4 linked regions of the Oryctolagus cuniculus genome follow. The protein of the gene in region 3 interacts with the protein of the main gene of each other region in a pairwise test. Links are inferred from orthologs where the notes say so. Each region holds a gene or a part of one and is shown on either strand. Other genes may lie near its edges. The genes, in order: DLG4, CFL1, ERBB4 and HDAC6.

Region 1 (4,050 bases), on a different chromosome or scaffold from region 3:
AGAGCTGGGTGTGAGGCTTGAGCTGATCCCGTGCCTTTCCCCTAGTTTCATCCCAGGGCATCCCGGTTTGCCCTTTCCCCTACTTTCCCAGCCAAAGCTGTCAGCAGGTGACTGGCACGGGGAGGGAGACCCCTGCCGGCCGCGGGGAGGCGGGAGCCCCTCTCCCGAGGCCGCCGTCACTTACCTGAGCGGCCTCACTGGCATAGAGTCGCTGGGCAGGACCAGGCCGGGGCTGCCCCAGGAACGCACTGGGCCGCGAGCTGTGAAGAGCAGGGGTTCGGTTCTGGCTCGGTCGGTCAGGTCCGCCGGCTCCCTCTCCCCTCCCAACCCCCGTCATACACACCTTCCGCTCGCCAACCTCAGCAGCTGCCGCCCCACGCTAGGGGCCATGCGAGCCGTTCGCATCTCGGAGCCGCTCCAGCTGCCGCTGCCTCGGACGCTGACCTCGCACTCGCGTCCTGACTGTCCAAGTCTGGTGTCCCCAGCCCTGACTCATCGTCCACAATGCACCGGGCGGTGGTGGGCGGGGCTTCCGGGCGCTGGGCATGCTGGGAACTGTAGTTCCAGAGCGCCCCATCCACTGCAGTCCAGCTGACCTAGCGCGATCTCCAAGCGTCCCTTGTCTCCCCGAAACTCCTTTAAACGCCTGTCCGAATTAGAGTCTAGTCCTCTAGGGGTGAAGGGATAGGAGGGGACGGGAGAGGGAGGAACTTAGGCGGCTGCAGCTAGAGGGGCAGAGGTTAACTGAAGGGAGGACCTCCCCAACCCCATGGAGTTAGGAGAAGGGAGAAGAGACAGTCATGGAAAGGCGACTCTTGGGGTCCCTCCCGAATCTGCCTCCACCTACACAAAAGGGAGGGGAACTGTGCGCTGGGGGACTCCAACTGGGCTGTGAGCCTCTCACAGCGTGTTCTCCGCCCTAGGAGGTGCCACTCAGAACCCCTGAAATTTCACAGGAGCAGCGACCCCGGTTCACCGGCTCTTGGAAAGCCTCTGAGACCTCCCTGAACCTCCTGTCTGCCCTCTGTTATTCCAGAGTCCCTGTGGTCACCTAGACCTCAGGGCAAATGGGTTCTGCCCGGTCCCGAGAAGAACTGAATGGAAACGCTCGTTTCTTCCCACTCCCAGTCCCTTTCCTCGGCTTCTCTAGCCCTGGCCAAGAAGTCCCAAGCAATGTACACCCTTCTTTCTGCGCTTCCCCCCCGGGGGGGGTCAGGCCTGGGAGGGAGCCAGCTGGGCCCAGCTTCCTTTCTCCTTGGGGGAGACTGTCTTCTCGGCCCCTTGTGAAAGTGTGGCTGAGTTCTGCAGGCCTTGGGGGCAGGGGCCCGGGTGTGTGAAGCAAGGTGGTGGTGGTGGTGCCGCCCTGAGGGACAGCAGGCCAGTCCAGAGATGCCGCCCTCACCTAACAGCGAGAATTGAGTGGGGAGAGGGCAGCTCAACTCCAATCCCAGCGGATTAGGGGGATTAAAGCCAGAGAAGGGAGAGATGTCCCAGAGACCAAGAGGTGAAAAACAGGGGTCCTTTTGGAGGGGAGGCCTGGGAGTGAAGTGGGGGAGACTGGGACTCAGAATTCTTTCTCCCCGGTTCTTTCCACGGAGTCGCGGTGCTGGGAAGCCGAGGTGGCTGAGCGTGTCAGTCTGTGTCTCTTCCCCATCCCAACCTCCCCTCACTTGCCTTCCACCAGCTCCCAGGTCAGCCCTCTGGCTCCTGGCGCCCCCACTCTTGCGGTGGGCACCCCCGCTTCTGGCCGTGCTACACAGCGACCTCTTCCAGGCCCTGCTGGGTGAGTAGCCCCAGTTTTGTGAGGGACAGCAGGGACGAGGGCCTGGGCCTGTGAGGGCCGTCAGTGCTGGCTGGAAGCCTGGAGCCCCATGCAGGGTCCTCCCCACAGTGGCTCCGGGGTCAGAACGGGCTAGCCTGGGCTGGAGGCCAGGGAGGGTGACTCGGTTCTGTTCCTGTGACAGACATCCTGGACTATTACGAGGCTTCCATCTCAGAGAGTCAGGTAAGGAGGCAGTGGGTGCTGGCTTCTGAAGGGGTAGGGCGGTGCTGAGCAAGGTCTGGCTAATATCAGATGGGAAAATGGAGACTTGGGGGCCCTGGCCACACATCCTGGGTCGGTGGCCCAGAGACGTGAGGGCTCTGAGAATGCACTCTCTCTGGGAGGCCCTGTAGCCCCCTCTCCTTTCTTCCCCCTTGTCTTTGCATGCCCCAGTTTAGCCACTGAAGTGTCCACGACATAATTACTTTCCAGGCTTCCCGCTGTGACTCCTGAGGGAGACCTAGGCCCCCAGGGATTCCCTCCTGCCAGCCCCTCCCTCACACCAAGCCCCCTACCATGGCCTCCCTCCAGTATTTAAGCAACCAGGGGTGCTCCTAGCCCATCTCCCGGTGCTCGCTCCTCTGAGAACTGAAGTCTGCCCTCCTGGGCTTTGCTGTCCTCGCTGGTGGCTGGCCGGGTCTCCATGTTTGCTTCAGGGCCTCTCGGCGTCTGCTTCTATCTCCTTTCCCATTATCCGGGTTCCTGCCGGCACCGAAGGAGTTAACTCTGCCAAGGCACCCCCCCATTCTGGCTCCTAGCTCCCTCCCTCCCTCCCCCTGCTTCCTCTCTCCTCCTCTCTCCCCTTCCCTCCTCGGCTCCACGGCTCCCTCGGCCGCTGCCGTCTCCAGCCCCCCCACCCCACTCCCCCGCCACGGCCCCTAGCCCCTGGCCGCTTGGCAAGACCCCCCCCTACCCCGGGGCTCCCCGAAATCCGGTTCCCCTCCCCCACCCCAGCTCATGCCCCAGCCCCCGAACTCCGGGGCTGCCAGCCCCCGGTGCCCCCGCCCCTCCTGAGAATCGGGGTGTTCTCCCCAAACCCCCTCCCCTCCATTGGGGAGCCCGTTTTCGGGCCCCCTTCCCCTCCCTCCCACGCTCCCCTCCCCTTCCCTTCTCCAACCCCCTCCTTCCCCTCTCACCCCTCCCCCCATCCTGGCCCCCCCTGCAAAAGTGGGGTGCGGAGGGGGGAGGGGTGAGAACCCACGGAGGGAAGGAAGGAAACTCTGATGAAGTCAGAGCCCCTTACCCGCCACCGCGGCCAGGCCCCCCAACATGGACTGTCTCTGTATAGTGACAACCAAGGTAAGCATGATGGGGGCTGTAAGTAGGGGGGAGGGCATTAGTTGGTGGGGAGGGGTCCAGCAGGCCTTATTTGGGGCTGGAGGCCCTGGAGTGAGAGCATCAGAAGTAAGATGCATTTGGGGTGGGTAATTTAGTTTTGGGGTTCACATCTGAGAAAACGCTGAATTTGGCCACAGGTGCCCCCTGGAGTGATCCCTCTGTACCTGTAGAGAAATGGAAAATTCGGGGTGTTTCGTGGTTTGGGGGGCTGGTGGGTTTGGGGGTTCACCAGTGATGTTTGAGGGAGACTTGTTTAGAGGGAAGCCTTGGCTCACATGGGAGTTCTGCTGTGGATGGGGGAAGGTGGGCTATGTGTGTGTGTCTGGGGGGGTCTTCCCTCCCTGGGGAAAAGCTGGTTTCCAGGGGGCTTTTCCAGGTTCAGGGGGCTCCTGGCATGAGGGTAAAGGTGATTGGTTCTGTGTGCCTGACTGGTCTGGGGGTGTCAGCTGGCAGAGAAGGGGTGGGCCTGCAGGCTACAGAGCCAGCGTCTTGTGGTAGATACGTTTGGGGGTGCTGTCTCAGTTTGAGGGAACTGTGATCCGGGGTTTGGTCGCAGGGACTGGAGGCAGTTGGGACTTGTCAGAGGGCTGGGGCCTGGCACTGGGTCCCCTGAGGGAAGGGCCAGGTGAGGTTGGGGCTGGGGGTATTCCCGTGGGAAGTAGAAGCTTGCAGTAGCTGAGCTTGCCAGCCCCTGAGGAGCAGGAGGAGAGGTTTGCGGAGAGAGGGGATTTGAGGAGGGGGACCAGGTGGATGGCGTGGAATTTGAGGGTGTCCCAGGCAGGTGCCCAAGAGCCTGTTTTCTCCCACACTGCAATCAGACCTGATCAGGAGTGAGGGAGAGGAGCAGATGGCGGGGACTGTCCGTTCCCCCCGGATCAAGGTGGGGGAGG
Region 2 (4,379 bases), on a different chromosome or scaffold from region 3:
CAAGAGGAATCAGAAAATCAAAAGCAGTTTGGGGCGGCCAGAACCGTCAGGGATGGGAGGGGGAGGAGGGTCCAGGGGGAGGGGGGCTGTTTGGCAACTGGGGCGAAGGAATTGCCCTCCCCCTGCTGGAATCCCCCCAGCCCCTCCGGCCTGGCAGGGAGGGGGCAGCCTGCAACCCCCAAGGGCAGGTCTGGGGCTGTCAGATGCGCCGGGCGGGGGCTGGGGGCTCACAAGGGCTTGCCCTCCAGGGAGATGACGGCGCTGCCCCCCAGCTTCTCCGCCAGGGTGCAGCGGTCCTTCACCTCCTCGTAGCAGTTGGCTTGCAATTCATGCTTGATTCCTGTGGGGAGGGGGCATCTGTGAGCGGAGGCAGGGGCCGGCTCCCGGCTCCCGGCTCCCGGCAGCCCAGGCCCGGCCCTCACCTGTCAGCTTCTTCTTGATGGCGTCCTTGGAGCTGGCGTAGATCATTTTGCTCTTGAGGGGCGCACACTCGGGGGCCCTGGAGAGACACGAGGCAGGAACTCGCGGCCCGCACCGCCCCTCCCGGCTCCCGGCTCCCGCGGCGCCGCCCTCCCGCAGCCCCGCTCACCAGAAGATGAACACCAGGTCCTCCTTCTTGCTCTCCTTGGTCTCGTAGGTGGCGTCGTAGAGGGCGTAGCGGCAGTCCTTGTCGGGCAGCATCTGCACGAAGGTGGCGTAGGGGTCCTCCACGGTCTGGCCCACGTCGCCCACCAGGATCTCCTTGCCCTCCTCCAGCACGATGTTCTTCTTGTCCTCGCTCAGGCAGAACAGCACCGCCTTCTTGCGCTTCTTCACCTCCTCGGGCGTCGACGACTTGCGCACCTTCATGTCGTTGAACACCTTGATGACGCCGTCAGAGACAGCCACGCCGGAGGCCTGCGAACGGGCGGGGGGCGACTGCGTGAGAGGCCGGAACGCCGCCCGGGGCCCTCCCAGCCCACGCCCCGGGCGGTCACTCGGCCTGGACAGCCCAGCGCCCTTCCTGCTTTCCACGGCCCCGACGGTGAGGACCCGTGGGAGCAGAGCCTCTGCCGAGGTGCGGGTCCAGAGAGGGGCTCCGGGCCGCCCAGTCCTGCTCCCGGCACCGTCTCGGCCCTGAACAGAGCTGCCCACCGAGCCCGCCAGAGCTGAGAGGGGGCCCAAACACTTCAGCCCCCGCCTCCTCTTCAGGAGGCGACCAGGCCCCCAGGACGTCGGCAGGAGCGCCCACGGAGGCCCTGCCGTTCCAGCAAGTGGGTCAGACAGAATGCAGGCACCTGCTTCCCGACTGGGGTCTCTCCCAACCAAGGCAGGAACCACAGCCCCCAGCCTCTGCGGGTGGCCAAGGGCCCCAGAGGCCACGGGAACGAATCGAAGGAGTGCAGTGGCGGCACCCCACACGGGAGCGCTCGCTGCCCAGCCAGCTTCCTCCCTACGCCCGCAGGGGCAGAGGACGGCCCAAGTGCGTGGGCCCCTGCCACCTGCGCAGGACCCCAGGACGGCGTGTCGGGCTCCCGGCTCCAGCCTGGCCTACACCCGGCTGTGGCGGCCGTTTGGGGAGGGAACCAGCGGATGGAAGACCTCCCTGCCTTTCAGATAAACAAATATTAAAAAAAAAAACTTAACAAGCCAACTGCGGCGCCCCAGGCCCCCGAGAGCTCTGCATCAGGCCCGGGGCGCCCTGGCCAGGAGGGGGAGCGACTGTCCACGATGGGGAAATCTGCACCCCCCAACTGCAGAGGAAGCTGGCCACGTGACCCAGCCGCTTCCGGAGTGGGCGGGGAGAGGACACCGAGAGCCCCGGCCCTCTGCCCAAGAAAACCTCGAATCCGAGGGGCAGCGGCGCCTCCAGGGCCCTCCGTTCCCCGGAACCGCCAGCAGGGCCGCTGGCCTGCCGCCCAGGGCCGCCCCGGCCTGTCCGCCGCCTGCCCAGGGGACCTCGGTCCCCGCGGCCGTCGGGCCGGACACAGGATGCGGGGTGGTTTCCAGGCGGCGCCTGCCTGGATCACTTCCCTAAACTCGGCTCCCTCTTCCGGGCCCAGCCGGGAGAGCCGAAGCCCCGGTAGCCCAGGGGGGCTGCCGCGACCCCCGGCGGCCGCGACCGCGCGTGTGCGCACGCGCCGGCCGGCAGCGCCGCTCCAGCTCGCGCCCCGGCGGGACCCCGCGCCGAGCCGCGCGCCGCAGGCCCGCAGCCCCAGCCACCTGCTCTCGCCGCGGGAGGGGCGCGGGGCCGGGACCGCGCCAGGGTGGGGTGGGGCGCGCGCGCCTGCTGCCTCGCCGCCCCCGGGGCCGGGCTCGGGCGCCGCGTGCTCCGGAGGGGCGCGCGCCCCCGCGAGACGGCGCGCGACGCCGGCGGCTCCGCGAGGGGCGCGCGCCCGCGCCCCCTCCCCCACGGCCGCGGCCCGCGCGGGCGCAGCAGCGCGGTGGGGGAGGGGAGGCCAGGGGGCGCGCGAGCGACGTCCGAGCCGGCCCTTCGCGGCGCCCACGAGCGCGCACGCGCGTCCCGGCGCCGCCCGCCTCCCGGGGCGAGACCCCCTCATCCCGCCCGGGGCGCTCGGGGCCGGGCTGCAGCTCCCGCTCCGCCGTCGCCCTCGGCCGCCTCCCCTCGGCCGCCGCGGCCTGCCGCTCACCATGTTTCCGGAAGCGAGAGGAAGATGGCAAGGGGGCAGAAGGCGGAGGAGACGAGAGCCGCCGCAGCTGCTGCCTGGACCCGACTGAACGCGGCCTCTCCCGGCCCCTTCCGTTTAGTAGGAGCCGCACAATGAGGGGCGGGGCGGGCTTCCGGCGCTCCCTCGCGGGGCCGACGGGAAATGGAGTCCGCGCGGCCGGCGGGCGCGCCGAGTCGCCCGCCGGCTCCCTCGGCCGGCCCCGCGGTGCACGCCGGGAGGTGTAGGCCGGGGCCGCGAGGGGCGGGGCCTCCGCGCGCAGCGCGCGCCCATTGGCCGAGCGTCCCAGGAAAGGCGGGCGCGCTGGCGAAGTGACCCGAAAAGGATCCCTCAGAGGCTCCAGATCCCGGCGCGGGACGGGTGTCTGGAGACCTCGGGTCTGCGGCGGCCGAGGGTGGCGGGGGGCGTTGCTTTCCCGACAGGAAGCGGCTGTTCGCTGGGCTGGGACCCGGCCCTACACCGGGAGAATCGGCAAAGCTGCGCTCGTCCCCAGAGAAAAAGGCGGATGCGGCTCCCACGGCAAAAAGAATAGAAAACACAGGGGAAGCCGCGAGGACTCTGTGTGGTTTATTCATTTATTTTCAGGTGTTTTGCAAATTCAGGGCTGTCAGGCGGTGAGGAGAGGAAACGCGTGTGAGGCCAGACTTGGGCCTGGCTCTCGGGTGCACAGGTGCACGGTTTAACGCGGGCAGAGCCGAGGCGCGAGCGAGCGAGCGAGCGGGAGAGCAGAGCTCCGGAGGATGTCCTCGGCCCGGGCCCCCACCGCGGCCCCCGAGCAGGGGCGCCTGCCGCGGAGCTCCGGGGACCAGGCCGCGGCCGCGCCCCGCCACCCCCGGGCGCCCCGCAGCTTCCCGGGAGGGGGAGGGGGCCGCAGTCGCCCTGGAGACGCGCTCGCGGCCGCCCCCGGCCGCGGGATGCCCTAGATGTCCTTATTAGGACATGAGCCTGGCGGGGGCGGAGCCGGCCGCGGCGCCGGCTTCGGGCTCCTTATAAGGCCGTGCTGGGAGGGAGGCGGGCTGGGCCCCGGCGCCCGCCCCTCCGGCCCTCTCGGGGGGTCCCGGGCCCCGCACGCCCCTGCTTGGGGTTCGCCCGCTCTCGACCTGGGACTGCTGCGGACGCCAGCAGGGCCCGCTCCCCCTCCCTGCGCCGAAGCACCTGCTTACGTGTCGCTCAACCTGGGCCCACCGAGTTCCATCTCCAAACCTCGCTGGGGGAAGGGGGTCCCGCGCCTCCACCGAGCCCCCGAGCCGGGGAGCCTCAGCCCCGGAGCGGCTCACGTGCGCCCCTCTGGCCGCCACACCTGCCGGGACGCACACAGCGCCTCTGCTCTCACCCCAGTCCGCCCAGCTAGGGCTTCCGCCGCCGCACACCCCAGAGCCCCTACCCACAGAGGCACCTGCGCTCCGCTGTCCCCCGACCCCAGTCTCCTGGAGTCTCCTCACGCCCCCTCCCACAGATGCACCTGCGCTCCGCTATCCCCCGCCCCCAGTCTCCTGGACTCTCCTCGAGCCCCTATCCACAGATGCACCTGCGCTTCTCTGTCCCGCGCCCCCAGTCTCCTGGACTCTCCCCGAGCCCGTACCCACAGAGGCACCTGCGCTCCGCTGTCCCCCGCCCTTCCTGGACTCTTCTCGTGCCCCCTATCCACAGAGGCACCTCAGAGGCACCTGCGCTCCGCTGTCCCCCGCCCCCAGTCTCTTGGAGTCTCCTCAC
Region 3 (4,227 bases):
AAGTACAGAGTCACACTCGGAACAACAATGGCACGCTAATCCTCGCGCTCTAAATGGGCTCACTTGTGGGTCTGACAATTCGCCCAGGGAAAGGAGAAGAGACGAGCGAGGGCAAGAGCTGGTGTCGCCTGAGACGAGGAAGAGGACAGCTGCAGAACTAATTTGGATTACATTCCTTGCAGAAATTCTGAAAAGGGCTTTTCGGAATAGCTCAGCCCCGCGCCGCACAGTTAATACCAAATTGCTGCGTACCGGGAGCGGGTCCTCCAGCGGCAGAGGCTGAACCAGACAGCCCCCAGTAGGTCGCCTCCTAGAAATTCCTCCCGCCTCAGCCTGCCTGTCGGTCGCAACTGTTTTTGAATGGGTCAATGTGCATAATCAACCCATTGAGGGAAAATATGAAGGGACTGGGAGTGGGGAGGCAGATAAAAAGGGATGTATCTAAGAGGCCGCTTGGAATCTCGAGACGGTGCAATTCCCGAGGTGGCTGGAGCGCGGGACCTGGTATGCATGAAGAATTTCGGAGTAATTGGGAGGGTGCAAACGGCGCACATGTGCCAGGCGAAGGTCATTCTGAAAGGCTCCATGATTGGAACTTGTTATTTACTAGGCAGCGAGGGGGAGGCGGGGGCGGAGCGGGGAAACTACCGCGAGCCGCCGTTCTCTTGGCGAGGTCAGGAGGACACCCTCCGGAGGCCTAAAGCTCGCCCTATCGCCACTCCCAGGGGCTTTATCTCCTCAAGCTGCCTCCCACGCTCTCGCCAGCAACCCCAAACGGCTCCGGAAATCTCCCCCGGGCTCTCCAGAGGCCACCACCACCACCACCCCCCACCTTGGCCGCGTCAGACACCGGTTCTCCTCATTCCTTTCCAGTCCCCAGGTCATCCCCAGGAAACTCCCAGTGTTGGAAACTTAGAGCTCCCCTGTCCCTGCAGGTGCTGCTGTCATTAGCCCTGCCCGCTGCGGCGCGCCAGCCCCCTGCGCGGCCCCTCGGGGTCAATTAGCCCTTTGCCTGTCCAGGTACCTGGGGCTCAAGCTCTCCAGCAAACACTGACCGCGCCCGGGAGCGCAGCCGCCGCGCCCGCCTCGGGTTAAATCAATTCGCGCGACCGGCAGGCTCCGCAGCCCGGCCGGGCAGTAAACAGAGAAGTTGGAGGGAGTCCGGCCAATAGCAAGTTGAACTACAGGAAGAACTCCTCCCGGAGCCAAACACAGCCACCGACGGGAAGGCCGGGCTCCTAGCTCAACGTGCCAAGCCTCTTTTAATTTTTTTTAATAGGACAGGCATGCAAGCAAGCACCCCTCGAGTCAATGGGGCGAGGGACTCCGGGACGCCAGCCGAGGAGGCTGGCAGTTCCAGGCCCGGGCCGAGGCACGCCCGCCCGCCGCGCTCTCCAGGCTGCCCAGGCTGGGCTCCAGTCGTGCCTGACCCCGCAAACCTCGGGCGACTGGGGGCGCAGCGGCCACAGGGAGCACACACAGGTGCACAGCCTGGTTCTCGGAGCTGCACGCTCCACAGCCCGCGGGCTGCGGAGCAGCCCGGCCAGCACCACCCCGGGACCCCAGCCCTGCCCAGGCTCCTGCGGTGCGCCTTCCTTTGCGGCTTGTTGCCTTGAGGGCACAGAGTCCGAGACCGGAGGGCTCCTCTGGCTGAGGGTCTGGGTCTCCCGCGTCCGAACAACAGGCGCGACTAGCAGCGAGCCCGCTTAGGCACAGGGAAAACACGCGAGGGAGAAAGAAGGTGGCTTAAGGAGAGAGGGGGGGAAAGGGTCATGGGGTGCAGAGTAATTTTTCACGATAAATAAAACACTTGCGCGCCCGCGCACATACACACAGGGTAAGTTTAGGATGGAGAAAGAAAGGGGTGACCGGGAGCCGGTGCCAGAGGCCCCAGTCCAGGGGTCCCTCCGCGCCTGGGGGCGAGCCGGGGTCGGGGTGGGCAAAGACGGCAGGGGAGCCACCGAGGCAGCCTAGCCGGCGGCGGCGGCGGCGACAGGTTCAACTGCTGGAGCGCGAGAAGGAGCGCGACCCACCTGACTGAGAAGCGCCGGGCTGGACGGTCCCCGCCGCCACGAGAAGGCTCACCCAGACCCACAGTCCTGTCGCCAGCTTCATTTTTTGGAAGTCTCAGGTCCCGTGCTGACAATTACATGTCCAACTGGCATAGCCCCTTTCGGGCACGCGGAGGAGATTCCCCCAGTCCGACGCGAGTGGGGGCGCGAGGGGGCGGGCGCGGCGCGCGCGGTCCAGCGGCTCCCCAGCGCGGGCGACCGAGTCCGCGCCCGCGGGCCCAGGGCCGGGCCGGCCGTAGAGGAGTGGGCGTCGCGGAGCGCGCCGGGGAGCGCTCCCGGGTGGCGCGGGCTGCTCCGGGCGGACTGTGCAGCTATTTTCCCCGTGGGAGCTTCGCGCTCTCGCTCTCTCTTCACTTTCTCTCTCTCACTGGTTGGTCAACAATAAAAAGGAAGGGGAGAGAAAGGTTTCCAAAAAAAGTTGATTGCAAAGAGGCGGTAGGTTTCCGGCCTCTCCCCCCCCAAGCCGGGCTATGTTCGGCTCCCTTTTCAGTTTCCTTGCACCTCCAGTCCAAATCGGGAGGCGGGGGGAGCTGCTGGCGTCTCCCCCGATCCTGTCCTTGTTCCTGTCAGCTTTCCTCACACTTGTCCAGCGGCTGCGGTAATTAAAGCTCCGAGCGTCATTTCCAACGCTCCGCGGTCTCCAGCTGCAGCCCCACAGAGAAATTAATAAGACTCCGAAATAAATAAAAAAAAGGTGGGGGGCGGTGGGGACGGTGGGGGGGGGGGGATAAAACAACCCTCCACGCAACCAGGCAAGCTCGGCTCAGCGGCACAAACCCCGCCCCTGCTCTGACCCAGCTGGCCACGCCCTTCCCCCCCCCCAAAAAGGGAGATCTTATTGGCTCAGCCACTCCCCAAAATCCTCAGCCTCCAGAGTTGGGAAAACACCTGTCAGAGAGAGGCAACGGGGAGGTGGGGGCGGGGAGGCTGGATTTAAAGGGCTCACCCGAATCCGTGGACCGAAACACTCTCCTTCCCGCCCCGGCGGAGGACGGGACAGCTGGCCCGCGAGGGGACAGACCACCGTTAGGATGCTTAGAGGACAGATTTTTTTTTTTTCTCCATTGCCCCACAGTGCTCATCCACAGACAGAACTTTCTTCAGTAAAAGGATGTGCAAACCCTCCCCCCCCCCCAAAAAAAAAAAAAACAGTCATGCTCCACGCTTAGAAGGTAATTTACAGGAGAGTTCGGTAACTGGTAGCCCCAGCACACCAGGTCGTCCTCCGCGGTAATCATCCCCCTTCCCCAGTTACACCCGGCCAAACGGGAAGACTCTGAACCAAACTAAAAATCTGCATTGGCAGAACCACATCATTGACTTTCAGATTCTCATGGGCCATGCTGCCTTTTCTCTGGACCACTTGTCTGGGGTTCATTCTCTCTAGGCACATTCTAGCCCAACTGCTAATTTGCTTTTAAAGGGCTCAAAAACGTTCCAAGCCTGAACTGTTGGGTCTGAAAGAATTTAAGGCGGCCATGTCAGAATGTAATGGACCTCAAATGATGAGGTTTATTCTAGTAGTAGACGCAGCTGGAGACACTTCCGTGTTCTCTGCCAGTTAGGCTCCCTAATCCCCGGGTCACTGGTAGCTTTGGGATTCTCTGAGAGGTTTCTGAATCTAATTACTATATCCTGGAATTGGAGACTCTCCACGTACATACCCCATACCTCTTACAGCTCTGAAACTACCCAGGACAGGAGCCAAAATCTCCTGGGGTTAGTAGGTTATGGGTTTGCTATTTGCGCAGGCATACTACGTACTAATCATTTTCCTTTTTTGGTTTCTCTACAAATAGGAAATATATAAATAAAAAGTACCTGGGAACTTAAAAATCAAACCACCCTGTATCTTCTGTCATCAACTGGGACCTTCCCTTTTCTCTCCCACATCTTTTATCTCTAGCCCTGTCCCTTAAGAATCTCCCTGGAACAGATAGGAAGAGCAGAAGCCTGGAGTTTCTCTTTCCTACGCACCCCCCCCCCCAAAAAAAAGCTTCTCTCTCTTTCCTAGGCCCAGCAAAGAGACAAAACAAGCTGAGCATGCTTTTTTACCCAAAAGCAGCCTAGGGCAGGGAGAAACCAAGCCTAGAGCAGATGATGGCGACTAACCAGAATGGAACTGATTGTGCAGAACTGTGTACATGGCCCTTTG
Region 4 (2,509 bases), on a different chromosome or scaffold from region 3:
AAGGAGGGACTGTTCAGTTTTAAGTCAGCTACCAAGAAGCCACCTCGACCAGCTAATCGTGGGCCAGCTGAGGGGATGACCACACCAGAAAAGAATGTTCTGGAAGCAGGCACGGGGAAGGCCACCTCAGCCCTATCTGCAGGAGAGTCCATTCCAGGCCATACTGAATCAGAGACAGCTGTGATGCTCCCTGAGGCCCATTCCTCACAGGCAGCCACAAGGTTAGCCACCCTGTACCACACCACCTCAGAGGTGGGCATGGGAGGAGCCATGATGGACCAGACCACCTGGGAAGCAGCCACAGGGGTAGCCACACCAGACCAGACCACCTCAGAGGAGTCTGTGGGCGGAACCTCACTGGACCAGACCACCTCAGAGGTTTCCATGGGGGAAGCCATGCTGGACAGTATCATTTCAGAGGAAGGAGACACGCTGAACCAGAACACCTCAGAGGAGGCTGTGAGGGCAGCCAAGCTGATCCAAACTCCTCTAGCCTCAAGCATAGATAACCAGACGCCCCCAACCTCACCTGTGCCAGGAGCCATATCCCAGATATCCCCTAGTCAGCTGACTAGGAGTCTCAGAACCTTGAAACTAAGCGATGAAGCTCAGGTAAGGCCCACAACACCCAGGTAGAGGGAAGAAGGGCCAAGAGTCTGGCCTCTTCGATACACCTTTTGCTTCTGTGTGTCCAGAAGACCTCAGAATCTCAGATTCCAGAAGAGGAGGGCCTACTAGCAGAGGCAGCTGGAGGTCGGGATGTGGATGATGTGACACTGATGCAGGGACCAGGGAACCTTGCTGACACTGACCAGGTGAGCTCAGGGAGAGGCTGGGTTGCAGCCTCCTCTTACCTATCCACATCTTCAGGTAGGAGATGTGATGCAGGAACATATAATGGGGGAATAGGACCCCCCCAGCTGACTCAGTTTCATCCACTCCAGGCCATGTTTTATGCTGTGACACCAATGTCCTGGTGTCCTCATTTGGTGGCAGTAAGCCCCAAACCTGCAACAGGCCTGAATGTGACTCAACCTTGTCAAGACTGTGGAACACTCGAGGAAAATTGGGTGTGTCTGTCTTGCTATGAGGTATGGAGCAGAGGAGGGGATTGGGGTGGAGGCTGGTCCAGGAGCAAACTTTGGTAGGTGCTGACCCCTGCCTGATACTCCCCAACCTCAGGTCTACTGCAGCCGTTTTGTCAATGCCCATATGATCCAACACCATGAAGCCTCTGGACACCCACTGGTCCTCAGCTACGTTGACCTGTCTGCCTGGTGTTACCTCTGCCAGGCCTATGTCCACCACCAGGTGGGCCCCGGGCAGACCCTCTAATGTGCAAACTCATGGCCCAAACATGTACATGCACTACTTATGTGATGGGTAAGGGGAGAGCACAGATCCCTTTGCACAATTGCCTCAGGATCCTTTTTTGTATTGTGGGGGCTGTGGGATAGCCCAGGAGACAGAGTGGTTGAAGACTGGAGTGGAGGCAAGCCTCCTGGCTGAGGCAGAGTGTTCTGCACTCTCTCTCACCTACCCTGTTCTTGCTACTCCCCAGGCTCTCCTAGATGTGAAGAACACGGTGCACCAGAACAAGTTTGGGGAGGACATGCCCCACCCACACTAAGTCCCAGAACGTGCTCCCTCTTCTCCACCTTCTGAGGCCCAAGACAGACCAGCCTTAGTTCATTCCAAGCTCTACCTTGGATGAGGGGGAGCCTCTCTCTCCATCTCGACTTAAATATCCTTTGCAACTCCTCAAGGGTGCTTATTTAAGTGTATATACTTTTAAAAGGACTGTGATGATCAGTTGTGGATTTTCCCCTGCCCACAACCTGCTCAAGGGACAACACTACCCCACCCCACAAGGAAAAGAGGAGCTCAATGTTTCCAAAGGGGTGCTGCAATCACAAAGGCTAACACTGGAGGAAGGGGGGAGCAACTGGCAGGTGTGGAGGGGTTGTGTATGTAATAAAGTGTGAAGTTACAAAACATGGAGAAAGCGTTTTAACTTTGAGTAGGTAGAGAATCCTGCATCCCAGGCCAATGAGAAATGAAGGAATATGGAATGGGTCTTCATCAGTTCAACCTTTCCCTCACCACCCATTGCACAAAAAAACCAACTCATTGAAAATATACCAGGCAGCTCCAGTAGAGTAAGTGGTAGAAACCATTAGAAAATGAATATCTGATTTAGAAATACAAGGATACTCCAAAAAGTTCATGGAAAATAGAATTTATAGGTATGTTTAGTTTGGTGCAAAAATTTGAAATCCATGCATACAAGGGGTCTTCACAAAGTTCATACAGGGGCTGACGCTGTAGTGCAGCAGCTTAAGCCTCTGCCTGCAGCACTGGCATCCCAAATGGGTGCTGGTTCAAGTCCCAGATGCTCCTTTTTCTGACCCAGCTCCCCGCTAGTGTGCCTGGGAAAGCAGTGGAGGATGGCCCAAGTCCCTGGGCCTCTGTACCTACATGGGAGACCTAGAAGAAGTTCCTGGCTCTT

The links.
Region 1: the proteins of ERBB4 (region 3) and DLG4 interact in binary tests that used the Homo sapiens proteins (3 or more experiments, as listed by UniProt). The link is inferred for Oryctolagus cuniculus from reciprocal best matches to the Homo sapiens genes ERBB4 and DLG4.
Region 2: the proteins of ERBB4 (region 3) and CFL1 interact in a protein complementation assay, tested with the Homo sapiens proteins (2 studies listed by BioGRID and IntAct, with this or other methods). The link is inferred for Oryctolagus cuniculus from reciprocal best matches to the Homo sapiens genes ERBB4 and CFL1.
Region 4: the proteins of ERBB4 (region 3) and HDAC6 interact in a protein complementation assay, tested with the Homo sapiens proteins (2 studies listed by BioGRID and IntAct, with this or other methods). The link is inferred for Oryctolagus cuniculus from reciprocal best matches to the Homo sapiens genes ERBB4 and HDAC6.

Annotation. Positions count from the first base shown.
Region 1 is NC_091448.1:51,825,388-51,829,437, reverse strand, and holds the start of DLG4 (disks large homolog 4), read left to right. Parts: upstream 1-1,250; 5' UTR 1,251-1,485; coding exon 1,486-1,504; intron 1,505-1,684; coding exon 1,685-1,783; intron 1,784-1,964; coding exon 1,965-2,005; intron 2,006-2,690; exon of another isoform or gene 2,691-3,091; coding exon of another isoform or gene 3,092-3,121; intron 3,122-4,050. Other genes in the region: ACADVL (very long-chain specific acyl-CoA dehydrogenase, mitochondrial), read right to left, coding at 185-260, 344-405. UniProt on the Homo sapiens protein: Postsynaptic scaffolding protein that plays a critical role in synaptogenesis and synaptic plasticity by providing a platform for the postsynaptic clustering of crucial synaptic proteins.
Region 2 is NC_091432.1:5,909,977-5,914,355, reverse strand, and holds the start of CFL1 (cofilin-1), read right to left. Parts: upstream 2,861-4,379; 5' UTR 2,634-2,860; coding exon 2,631-2,633; intron 898-2,630; coding exon 590-897; intron 500-589; coding exon 423-499; intron 341-422; coding exon 228-340; 3' UTR 1-227.
Region 3 is NC_091434.1:26,982,528-26,986,754, reverse strand, and holds the start of ERBB4 (receptor tyrosine-protein kinase erbB-4), read right to left. Parts: upstream 2,801-4,227; 5' UTR 2,116-2,800; coding exon 2,034-2,115; intron 2,027-2,033; exon of another isoform or gene 1-2,026. UniProt on the Homo sapiens protein: Tyrosine-protein kinase that plays an essential role as cell surface receptor for neuregulins and EGF family members and regulates development of the heart, the central nervous system and the mammary gland, gene transcription, cell proliferation, differentiation, migration and apoptosis.
Region 4 is NC_091453.1:34,007,133-34,009,641, forward strand, and holds the end of HDAC6 (histone deacetylase 6), read left to right. Parts: coding exon 1-612; intron 613-695; coding exon 696-815; intron 816-944; coding exon 945-1,091; intron 1,092-1,182; coding exon 1,183-1,311; coding exon of another isoform or gene 1,312-1,335; exon of another isoform or gene 1,336-1,383; intron 1,384-1,561; coding exon 1,562-1,630; 3' UTR 1,631-1,995; downstream 1,996-2,509.